Linked DNA regions of Schizosaccharomyces pombe. The gene in region 1 interacts genetically with each later gene. Each region holds a gene or a part of one and is shown on either strand. Other genes may lie near its edges.

Evidence for each region. Genes that interact genetically often act in the same process or in processes that back each other up.
Region 2: of rfc1 (region 1) and rfc5, a mutation in one rescues a mutant of the other (synthetic rescue), as found in Schizosaccharomyces pombe (one study listed by BioGRID).

The regions. Positions count from the first base shown.
Region 1 is NC_003423.3:3,851,865-3,858,318, forward strand, and holds rfc1 (DNA replication factor C complex subunit Rfc1), read right to left. Parts: upstream 4,159-6,454; 5' UTR 4,079-4,158; coding exon 4,007-4,078; exon of another isoform or gene 3,939-4,006; coding exon 3,820-3,938; exon of another isoform or gene 3,772-3,819; coding exon 3,712-3,771; exon of another isoform or gene 3,652-3,711; coding exon 1,098-3,651; 3' UTR 793-1,097; downstream 1-792. Other genes in the region: rib3 (3,4-dihydroxy-2-butanone 4-phosphate synthase), read right to left, coding at 1-349, 393-510, 559-595; rgp1 (protein sat1), read left to right, coding at 4,490-4,832, 5,123-6,432. UniProt on the Schizosaccharomyces pombe protein: The elongation of primed DNA templates by DNA polymerase delta and epsilon requires the action of the accessory proteins PCNA and activator 1. Subunit 1 is essential for cell cycle progression.
Region 2 is NC_003423.3:1,533,921-1,537,983, reverse strand, and holds rfc5 (DNA replication factor C complex subunit Rfc5), read left to right. Parts: upstream 1-1,872; 5' UTR 1,873-1,928; coding exon 1,929-2,123; exon of another isoform or gene 2,124-2,184; coding exon 2,185-2,377; exon of another isoform or gene 2,378-2,519; coding exon 2,520-3,208; 3' UTR 3,209-3,563; downstream 3,564-4,063. Other genes in the region: ribosome biogenesis protein wdr74, read right to left, coding at 19-116, 178-717, 878-996, 1,046-1,085; yhm2 (tricarboxylic acid transporter), read right to left, coding at 3,800-4,063. UniProt on the Schizosaccharomyces pombe protein: The elongation of primed DNA templates by DNA polymerase delta and epsilon requires the action of the accessory proteins PCNA and activator 1.

The DNA.
Region 1 (6,454 bases):
TTCACGAACTAATTCACAGATAGCTCCTACAGGCGGTAAACCAGCAAGCTTGCACAAATCCACCGCAGCCTCCGTATGACCATCTCTTTCCAAAACACCGCCGTCTCGTGCTCTTAAGGGAACAATGTGTCCTGGTCGATTAAACTCACGAGGAGAAGTTACTTCTGGATTGGCTAGCTGTCGAGTCGTTAATGCACGATCGTGAGCGGATATTCCAGTGGTAGTACCGTTGGCATAATCCAAAGTAACTGCATATGCTGTTCGCATACGATCCTCGTTATTATCTACCATCATAGGAATTTCTAGAGAATCCAAACGTTCACCAGTCATGGGTACGCAGACATACCCACTATTTATTAGCATTTCAAACAATTCCATGTCGTTTTGCATACCTAGAATGCCTGACTAAGAATGCCATTTGTTCGGTAGTAACTTTGCAACCTGCAATAATCAGATCTCCTTCGTTTTCACGCGTTTCATCGTCTAACACTATTAAAAACTTTCCATCCCCTTGTCATGATATTAGCGTTTTATCTTTTTAAAAAGAAATATGCTTACGAAAGTCATTCACTGCTTCCTCAATTGATGCAAGCATTCTGGTATTTGGCAGCTTTTCAGATGCTCTCTGCTAAGTTTACTAAGCACTTAGCTCACCATAACTCTGATAGTTAACACAGCAATGTAGCGTACTTAGATGAAACGATATAATTATTAATAATAAAAATAATTTTATACATTTTAAACCGCCTGTCAATTAGCTTTTATTTTACTGACTCAATTACAAATGATATGGTTCACGATAGCTTTATTGAAAATACCACTCACCGAATTTTTAAATCTAACCTTGCAAATACGGTCATGCTAAATATGATATAATATATCTTATAAACATTAAAGTATGTAACGGACAAAAGAACACACATTTAAGATTAAGAAAATTTGAGCATATCTTACCAGAACTGTAAAATCCACCAAAAAATCTATATTATTTACTATTGTTGCAAAGTAATTGAAAAGTATTCGCAAATTTCACTTACTCAGCAATATAATCCCGATAACTCATATACAATCCGTAAAAGTAATATTTTCAGAGCTTTTTAAGCTGTCTTTTTTCTGGATCGGCGACTGGTTGAGCTAGAAGAGGACGCTTCAGCCTTTGCCTTAGTCCTTTTTTTAGGTTTCTTTGGTACCGAAATAAATTTGTCTTTGCTTAAATCTATGTCCTCTTCATTAGCAGCCTCTGAGTCACTAGCTTCTTCTAACATCTCATCTTCGGCTTCAATTGCATCTTCGACATCCGGCACTTCGCGCTGAGCAGAGCCCTTCATAGGTAAAACATCACTACTTCCAAAGAAGGCGATGGGGTGACTCGAAGAATTGTATTTTCTTGTGAATGCAGATTTTGCAGCAGTCGGTATGGTTTTCATGAGTTTCTCACCTGCATCTGCAGGAAGAACTAATTCCGTTATTGAATCAAAATCTTCACGATTTAGATAATATTCATCCATCAATTCAATGATTTCTGGAACGACGTCTGAATGGCCTGTTGATAGCTTTACAGGCAGAGACTCATACAATATTGGAATATAATGCTGCCGCAAGTCCAATTTATTAGCGGATACTTTTAAACGCATGTGTACTTGTATCTCACGAAGCATACGATATAATTTATTTGTCTTCGAGTTATTACCCAACCAATTAGTAAAGCGAATCTGCCTGGAACCGGAACCAGCCACGAAAGAAGCAGGTCGCACGCAAGACATAAGAGCATGGGTTGGCATAAGTGACCAGTGTTGTTGAGGACCATGAATCATTGAATCAACAAGATCAGAGTCGGAAAAGGAGTTAGCAGCACTAGATATTAATTCTAAATGCTTCAAATGTGACATTTTCGGTGGTTCTTGACGAATTCTATCTGGTGTAGTATTAAGGTAGTTTTCTTGAACCATAAGATAAGAAAATTCGTGATCATTAAAATACAGCTCTAATTTATCATTAATGGTGGACTTGCTTGATGGATGAAACATTCCTCCATGTAAGTAACGACTACAGATATCCCATGGTTTCATAACGATATGCTTTTCAGAATTTTTAATAACAGCTTGGCTATTTTGAGGTGTCATTTCTGAACAGCTTAACTTGTAAGTGGATAGCAAATTAATAATTTGGCGCATATCGGACTGCGTCCCCTGAACCAGTTGATCGACTGCTTGTGGTGACAATTTGAGACCTTCACGATACGCTATAGACATTATTCGGGATCGCATTGAATTAGCATCTGGCCGACGGAAACGGAGGTCAAACGTAGTACGGTCAAGGGGCCGCAGCTTTGGATGAGCACGGTCATTGCAAATACAAATAATTGGTATCATGCTTTTTTTAATAATCATATTCAACTGACCAACGCCTCCACGATCACCCGATGACATGCCATCGATTTCGTCCATAATGAGTACAAGTCGGGACTTTGCCATGTCAACGGGGTTAGCTTTTGTGCCAAAGTAGCCGGCAAGTGATTGACTATCTGTCACACCGAACAGCTGCTCATCTAGCAAGCGCTTGCTTCTAGTGTCACTAGCGTTCAGTTCCAAAACATCGTAACCTTCTAATTTTGCTACCAAATGAGCAGCAGTCGTCTTGCCAATACCTGGAGGACCAGAGAGTAATACGGCTTTGTATAGACCCAGACCATCAGGTCCAGGTTTATTAAAGTTGGACTTCCTGTTTTTGTGGTAATCCTGTAGCCACTTTTGAAGTTTTTGAACGACACCCTTATTACCACAAATATCCTTTAAAGAAGTTGGCGCATATTTTGAAGTCCATATCTGTGAAGGTTGTGATTCCTTTTTATTACTATCGTCCATTCTCGCAACAGTTTCAAGGATTTTCTTTTCTTCTTGTTCCTTTTTCTGTTGAGCAGCCTGAGCCGCAGCACCCGTTCCTCCTGAAGCAGGAAGATGAGTTATAAGATAGAAGAGTCCATCCTCGTTAATAGCAGGAATCTTGTGTTGTTTAATTGTTTCCACTTTTCTTGGACCAGCATTCTCACCTAAGAGAATAAAGTCTGTTCTAACAGAAGGTGCACCTGTCACTTTTCCACCATATTGTTTGATCAGGTCTGTAGCCTCTTGTCTAGTTAAAGTCTCTAGAATTCCTGTAATAACAAAGCTAATTCCCGAGAGACAATCGCTATTGCCTTCAGGGACGGGTTTTGAGCCTGGAGTTTGTGTTGTAGCCGCCCGTTCATAGAAAGTACCTGGAGCCATCACACCCATAGAGTCTACGTCAATTAAAGGAACATTTTTGAGGGCTTGGGAAACTTCGTCTGAGAACCTAGGTAAGCCTTTCGACTTGCTAGAACGACTTGTGTGAGTTGTCGCAGTTGTGGTATGAGATTTTGACTTTGAAGTTGTCGATTTTTCTGCTTTAGGTTGAGCAGGTTTACGTGTAGCTCTAGTTTGATGGACAACTGGCTTACTGTCTGAAGTGGTATCCAAGTCATTGGCAAAATTTTCTGTTTTTACAGGATGTACGACATCTTTGGAAGTAGTAGTTTCTTTATTGGAGATAATCCGCGGTTTAGAACGTGACCGAGTAGACTGTTGTTCAAAGTACTCATCAGGTGTAGTTGAAACTCCATCTGAACCGACACTAAACAAAAATTCAAATTAGCGAACAACGCATAATGAGGTAAAAGTAAAATAAACATACAGTTTATCGTCTTCATGAACAATGGATGGCAAAGAATGGGAAATATCTTCCGACTCATTACTAGTTGGAGGGTTAGAAATATAAACTGATAACCCGAATTAAACGAACCGTTTTTGCACTTTGCTTTTGGATGCAGGAACTTTTGAATTCTCTATTGTACCATCTTCATCATCTGATAAAACGATTCTTTTTTTCTTCAAACTCCTTTTTGGTTTTGGGGAAGTAGGCTAGACAAAGACGTTAGAAAATGAATGACTAGCTTATCAAATTTGACTGATTGAAGAAACAAACATACAGTCGGTGAGACTTTTGGCTTTTTTTGAGCGTTCCCTCCTCCAAAGAAGCTTCGAATGTCAGAATTACTCATTTCCGACGATGAATAACAATTACCCAATTCCTGAGAAGCTACTGTCTAACTTCCAAAAAAGCAGTGTATGTATGTATATTGGGCGACAATAGCAAGGAATGTGACAATTTGCCAAAAGCAGAGAGTTAACAAAGCTTCGTTAAAACATTCGTAAATGAGTAAATTAAGGAATAGTAAGGAGAGTGTAAAAAATTGATTGTGGGCGTTCGTTATTTAATCTCGTAAAATGAGTCGTGGAGGAAGAAAAGTGGGCTCTTTTACAGTACTATTTTGATTGTGCATTTGTTACGAGACTAATAAACGTTCGTCAATACGAATGAAGAAATCCAAGTTGTATGGTTATTATTAAGGTAAAGCTGAAGCCAGCGGCTTGAGAAATTATCGAATATAAGAGTTTAGTGGTGTTCGACAATGACAGAATGTGATGTGCAAATGTACATGCCAGTGAATGTAGTTCAATCCGGAACTGACTTTGAGTGCATTGTAAAATTCACGAATCTAAGGAGTTCAGAAGATGTAAATTTACTTTTGTGCTATGCTTCTATCCATGGTGAAATGTACCTTGACTATGTACTGGTGCGCGTTACAGAATTCGATGAGGTTCAGAGGCAGGGGCTCTTAAACAAAAGGACAATGAGCGGATTAGTACATATTCCCAAGGTATCCAGCAGTTATTCTGTTATTAATACTCTGAACGGGATGATTGGAAATTTATTTGGAGTTAAACAAGCAAGTACATTGACAGAGGCCTCAGGTATGTAATGGTGAAAGGGTGCAAAAGGAAATAAAGACTTGGTAAAAAAAATCTCTCAATTGGCTTACATTTGGAGGGAAGATATAGCTCGGAAGAGTGCTTATACGGTGAGGTGGACATAAAGTCAATTGACGAATTACAGAAAGGTTGTCTGGGAAGAGTTTTGTAATTCATTTGAAACATATTTACTCTTTATTCAATTTTTTTTTTTTTTTTTTTTTTTTTTGGAAGATGGTTACTCTTATTTTTACTGCAACCTACTGCTTAAGCATGAATACTAACCGATAAAGAACAAAAGCAGGAAAATGCCATTCCAGTGCTACTGACTCGTCCAGATATATTAGGAGTCGATATCACGCTTTCTCCTGGAGAGGAAAAATGCTTTCGGTTGAAGCGAAGAATTCCCCTTCGAACAGCACCTACATATAAAGGATTGGCCTTTCGATTTCAACACGCACTGGTCATAGGAGTCCAATCAGCTACCAACAATGCTTGTGTAGAGCATGAATTTGAAATTACTATAGTACCCAACGTTCAACAGCAACCTGAACTGCCACTCGGAAAGAATTCGGGAAACAGACAATCCTCGAAGCTGTTTGCAGATTTATCCAAACCGATTATTGAAACAGATGCGGCAGAAATTGAAGAGGTTTCAGCAGAGAAAGCACGTAGGCAATTCGGTAAAAACGGTATACGACTTTCGCAGGATGCGCAGGAGGAAGAGAAGCAAAAAAAGAAATACGAGCAACACATAAAAAAGCTACTTGATGGAGAGTCTAATGAAGAGGGAGGAGGAGAATTCCAAGATCATGGAATGAGGTCAGAGATCAATGAAGAAGTATTAGAGGAAGAGGATGAAGAAAAAATTGCGTTGTTAAAAAAACTCGAATCCAAGCAACCAATGGCCACGAGGTTTGAGATTACAAGCAAACAAAAAGTGTTATGTCGATTGCTTTTGAGCAAAAGCAGATATCGGACAGGAGAGATGATGATGATTGAGCTAGAAGGACTGGACGCGATGGTTCGACAAGTGCATATGCAACTTGAAAGTGTGGAGCGTATTGTGCCAGACATCCGTATACGCAACAGCGTAGGGACGGAGAGGGCGACGCGAAAAGTGTGGTGTAGAATTACACGGGGAGTGTTTGAGTTGGAAAACATGAGCGCTTCGATGGTTGTGCCGGAGGAATGTCCGGAAACATTTGAAACACAGCAATTTGGAGTGGAACACTTTTTGCGGGTGGAATTGTTAAGGGCGGTGAACAAGAAACGTGAGATGCAGGGACCGGCGCATCCCCGATATAGTGAAGAGGTGCAGAGTCCGAGTCGATCGAGATACAGTGAAGAAGTACAGAGGGTGAGTGAAGGTAGATTGAGCGAAGAGGTAAGCAAGGAGGAAGAGAAGAAAGGAGGGAGGGAGAGCGGTCAGCACAAGCGAATGGCATCGCTAACGAATTCGCGAGAGATGCAAATCCAGCATGCACCGACAACGTTTGCGGCAGAGACGATTCAATGTGTTTTGCCGATTCGAATTGAAAAGCGAGTTGTGTGGATGGAAGATGGAATGGAAGGAGGGATGGAGGGGATGCAACCGGTTTAGCCAAACAATTGAGTAATCCGAT
Region 2 (4,063 bases), 2.3 Mb from region 1:
AAAATCGATAAAACATACTTGATTGAAGGAAGCAAACCAACATGACTTAATGGTGAAGTAGAGACATCAAATGTGGAAACCGGGCGGCGGCCGTGTTTCGTATCATAAAAGCGTAACTATTTGTTGTTAAATAAAGGTTCAATACTGTGAATAATCAAAATATTATCAACTGCTTACCTGACCATAATGAGTAATCGTAGCAAAATGGAAGCACAGACTTTCATCGTCTTCGGACTTTCCGTCAATAACATTAATAATATCTTCCGTGAACACAATTCCAGTGATCCACACGCGCACTCTAAGATTCAGGGAGTCATTTTTTACATTTTTTCCCTGGAAAACTTTTACCACGTTTTCTGTTCGCCAAAGTTCTAGTTCATCAATGTTCGATTTGCACGTAGGATTGCAAGAATACAAACAAACATCGTTTTCTTTTCCTCCAGCAGCGATTATTCCTGGTATTCTTGGATGTAACTCAACAGCGGACAGGGGGCCATGTAATTGAAGTTTTCGAAGCTTCGAAGATTCAATGTGTCTAAACAACAAATTTCCATCACTTAAAGCAAGCATTAGCCAACCATTAGAGTATTTCATGGAAACTATGGAAGCAGTCTCTAATAAAGAGCTGTCCAATTGCCAAAGACTAGACAAAATAGGTGGTTCTTGGTTAACGTTCCAACATTCAATAGTACCATTTTTCCGAGCGACAAATACATTCTAAAATTAACAAGTTAATCAGTGTTTTTCGAAATATAAACACAGGATATCCTAGTAACGCGCAATCCATTTGATAATAGTAACGAAGAAACAAGCGTCAATAAAGTTGCTTCTTTTTAGTTCATAATGCGTTATCACAGAAATCTCAAAAATTCCGTACCATTTCATGCTTCAACATAAAAAGCACTCCTTTTTCTCGATCTAACTCTCCAAATTTCTGAATAACTGGTGCTTCTGACTCGGGGTTTGAGGTGTCAGTACCTTTTTTTATTTCTATGACTATAATCACCTTTATTAGTACCGACGAACTTGTGAGTGGATTTCTTACATTTTAATTGCCCGATTTCATCACCAAGAAGCAATTTCATCTTGAAATACTACAACTTTTGTCGTATATCGCAAGAATCGATTTGGTTGTTGAAATGGGTAATGAGAAAAACTTTCACCACGAAGGTAGGAACGTGTCCTTTTAAAGGGCAAATTTTAAAACCATTTTAAAAAACCTTACAAGGTAAAATAAAAAAAAGAATGAATTGTCAATTTAATTTAGGAAATGTCATTTATTGAATGGATAATTTAGCTTATCGATAAAAAAAGGTTGTAAACGGACTAATCGCTCACATGTACTTGAATATAAGAAGAATTGTAATATATCATTTTCTATAGAATAAGTGCTCGTCAAAGGAAACTGAGTTTTGCAGCTGATTCATTTAATTGAAAGTTTACAACGTTAGCGTGTCAAGTTGCCTTATCAATGAATGGGATTTAAATAATTTCTTAAACAGTTATTTTTTTTATAGGAATAAAGCAAGGTGGAAAAACATAGTTTGGTCAGTAAGTATACGAGAAGAAGTTTGAACTATGTAACAGCTTCAAATGTTTATCGATAATGAAGTTAGAGCGCTCTACGAAATAGAATTGAATAAACAATAAAATTACCAAGTGTTGTAAAATACTTCCCACTCAAATACAATGTTCAGTAACTTCCATAATATGTGTAAACTAGCGAGAACGGAAGGTATCTTGAAGAGCTTATTTTAATGGGAAAAACAGTTCGGTTTGTTTAGAAGTTAAAAGTTTTATCATCTAACAATTTGGTGTAATACACTGACATGCACGTTGTATTTCTCCATTAAGTACATCCACTTGTCCTTTGCGTTACTGAAGGGTTTTACCAAAAACCGAGTTCCAACCTTTAAATCTTGGAATAAATGCTTTGGTTAGATCAATACCGTCCAAAGACGCTTGCATCTTTGGACTATCACAAACAACTCTCAGAACGTCTTATTTCCTTGTCGTCTACTAATGAGTTTCCCCATTTGTTAGTGTATGGGCCCAGCGGAGCAGGAAAAAAAACTCGGGTGGTTGCTATATTACGAGAATTGTATGGACCTGGCTCAGAGAAGGTATGTTTCTTCATAGTCTGACTTTCATTTAATTAAATATACATGCTCACAATGAATGTAGTTGAAAATCGATCAAAGAACTTTCTTGACTCCTAGTAGTAAAAAATTACAGATCAATATTGTATCAAGTCTTCATCATTTGGAAATTACGCCCAGCGATGTCGGAAATTACGACCGAGTCATTATGCAGGAGCTTTTAAAAGATGTGGCTCAATCTGCACAAGTTGACTTACAAGCTAAAAAGATATTTAAAGGTATGTCTTCACTGTAAAGTGAAATCAATATGGAATTTTTGTGCTCTTTTTTGTTCCTAGGTGTCTCATGTTATATTCTGGTTGGTGAACTTTCAATTCTTTTCCTTATTTTTATCTGCGCTCGTACTAACATGCTCCTTAGTCGTTGTAATCAATGTGGCTGACGAATTAACTAGAGACGCTCAAGCGGCTCTTCGTCGTACCATGGAAAAATATTCCAATAACATTCGTCTGATCTTAATTGCCAATTCTACGTCGAAAATTATTGAGCCTATTCGATCTCGTACGTTAATGGTTCGTGTTGCAGCCCCTACGCCAGAGGAAATTATCCTGGTAATGTCTAAAATCTTGACAGCCCAAGGCCTTGAAGCTCCGGATTCTCTGCTTAATAATATAGCGAATAATTGTGATCGGAATCTTAGAAAAGCCATCTTGCTCTTAGAGACCGTTCATGCAAAATCTCCAGGCAACAAGCAACTAATCGATACTGGTGCGCAACTCCCTTTGCCTGATTGGCAAACATTTATCCAGCAGGTCGGTGATTCCATGCTTCAAGAACAAAGCCCTGCACGTATCCTGGCTGTTCGCTCAATGCTGTATGATCTTCTTTCTCACTGCATTCCCCCTACCACAATTTTGAAGGAACTTCTGTCTTTTTTTCTTTCAAAAGTGGACACTAAATTGCATCCATACTTAATTCAAGCTGCAGCGAATTATGAACATAGGACTCGGATGGGCAACAAATCAATTTTTCACCTAGAGGCTTTTGTTGCATATTTTATGAAAGTTTATGCTATGTTACAACTAGGTATGGAGTTACCTTCTTATTAGCTTTTTCGGTGATTACTAGAATGTCTATACTATACTTGTGCATCTTGATTTTGTAATTTTAAGCGAAAAACTATCCCACTTTATTGGACCGTGTATTTATTGATTTTCTTTTGAGTCAAACTCTAGTTTCTGAGCTACGCCCGCTATTATTGAAAAAGATTAATCGAAAGGAAGTCGCTACAGTATTTTGTTTGTATATTCCTTTGGTACACTTTCAGTAAAATGGAGTTTATAAAAACAAACTGAGTTATTAACATTGTTTCAAAGAAACTTTGTTTTTGATAAATATGCTGAAAATGTCTAATACTATATAAAACTGTTATATATCTAATATACGGAATAAACTACTATTACAAATGATTCAAAAAAAGAGAAAGAAACTATAATCCGAGGATTTCAGGGAAAAGTTTCAAATTGTAATGCATCTGGTAAATGTAAAGAAACTAACAAATTTACCACGCGACAATGAAAATGAAAGATATAAAAAACAAGGGTTGTTAAAAAAGATAGCAAAGATTACAGTTAAAGACGGTGTCTTAATAAGAAAAAAGAAGTTTGTGGTGACAGTGGATGAACAAAGTCAAAAAAACCTCACTTTGCTAAATACCCACGAACACAATCCGCTAAAAAGACCATGACGAATGTTTGGTAAGCACCAAGACCCATACGGGGGACGGCACCACGATAAAGACCCTTAATTCCATTATTCTTGTAAATGCTCATTATGGTTTGCATAATACCAGGTGAGGAATGTTGTATACCCTTGGTCAAACTTTGCATCTCAACGCGAGCGACCTCGAGTGGTTGATTCCAACAACTAAGAGCACCAGCAGACACACTAGCAACAAACCGTTG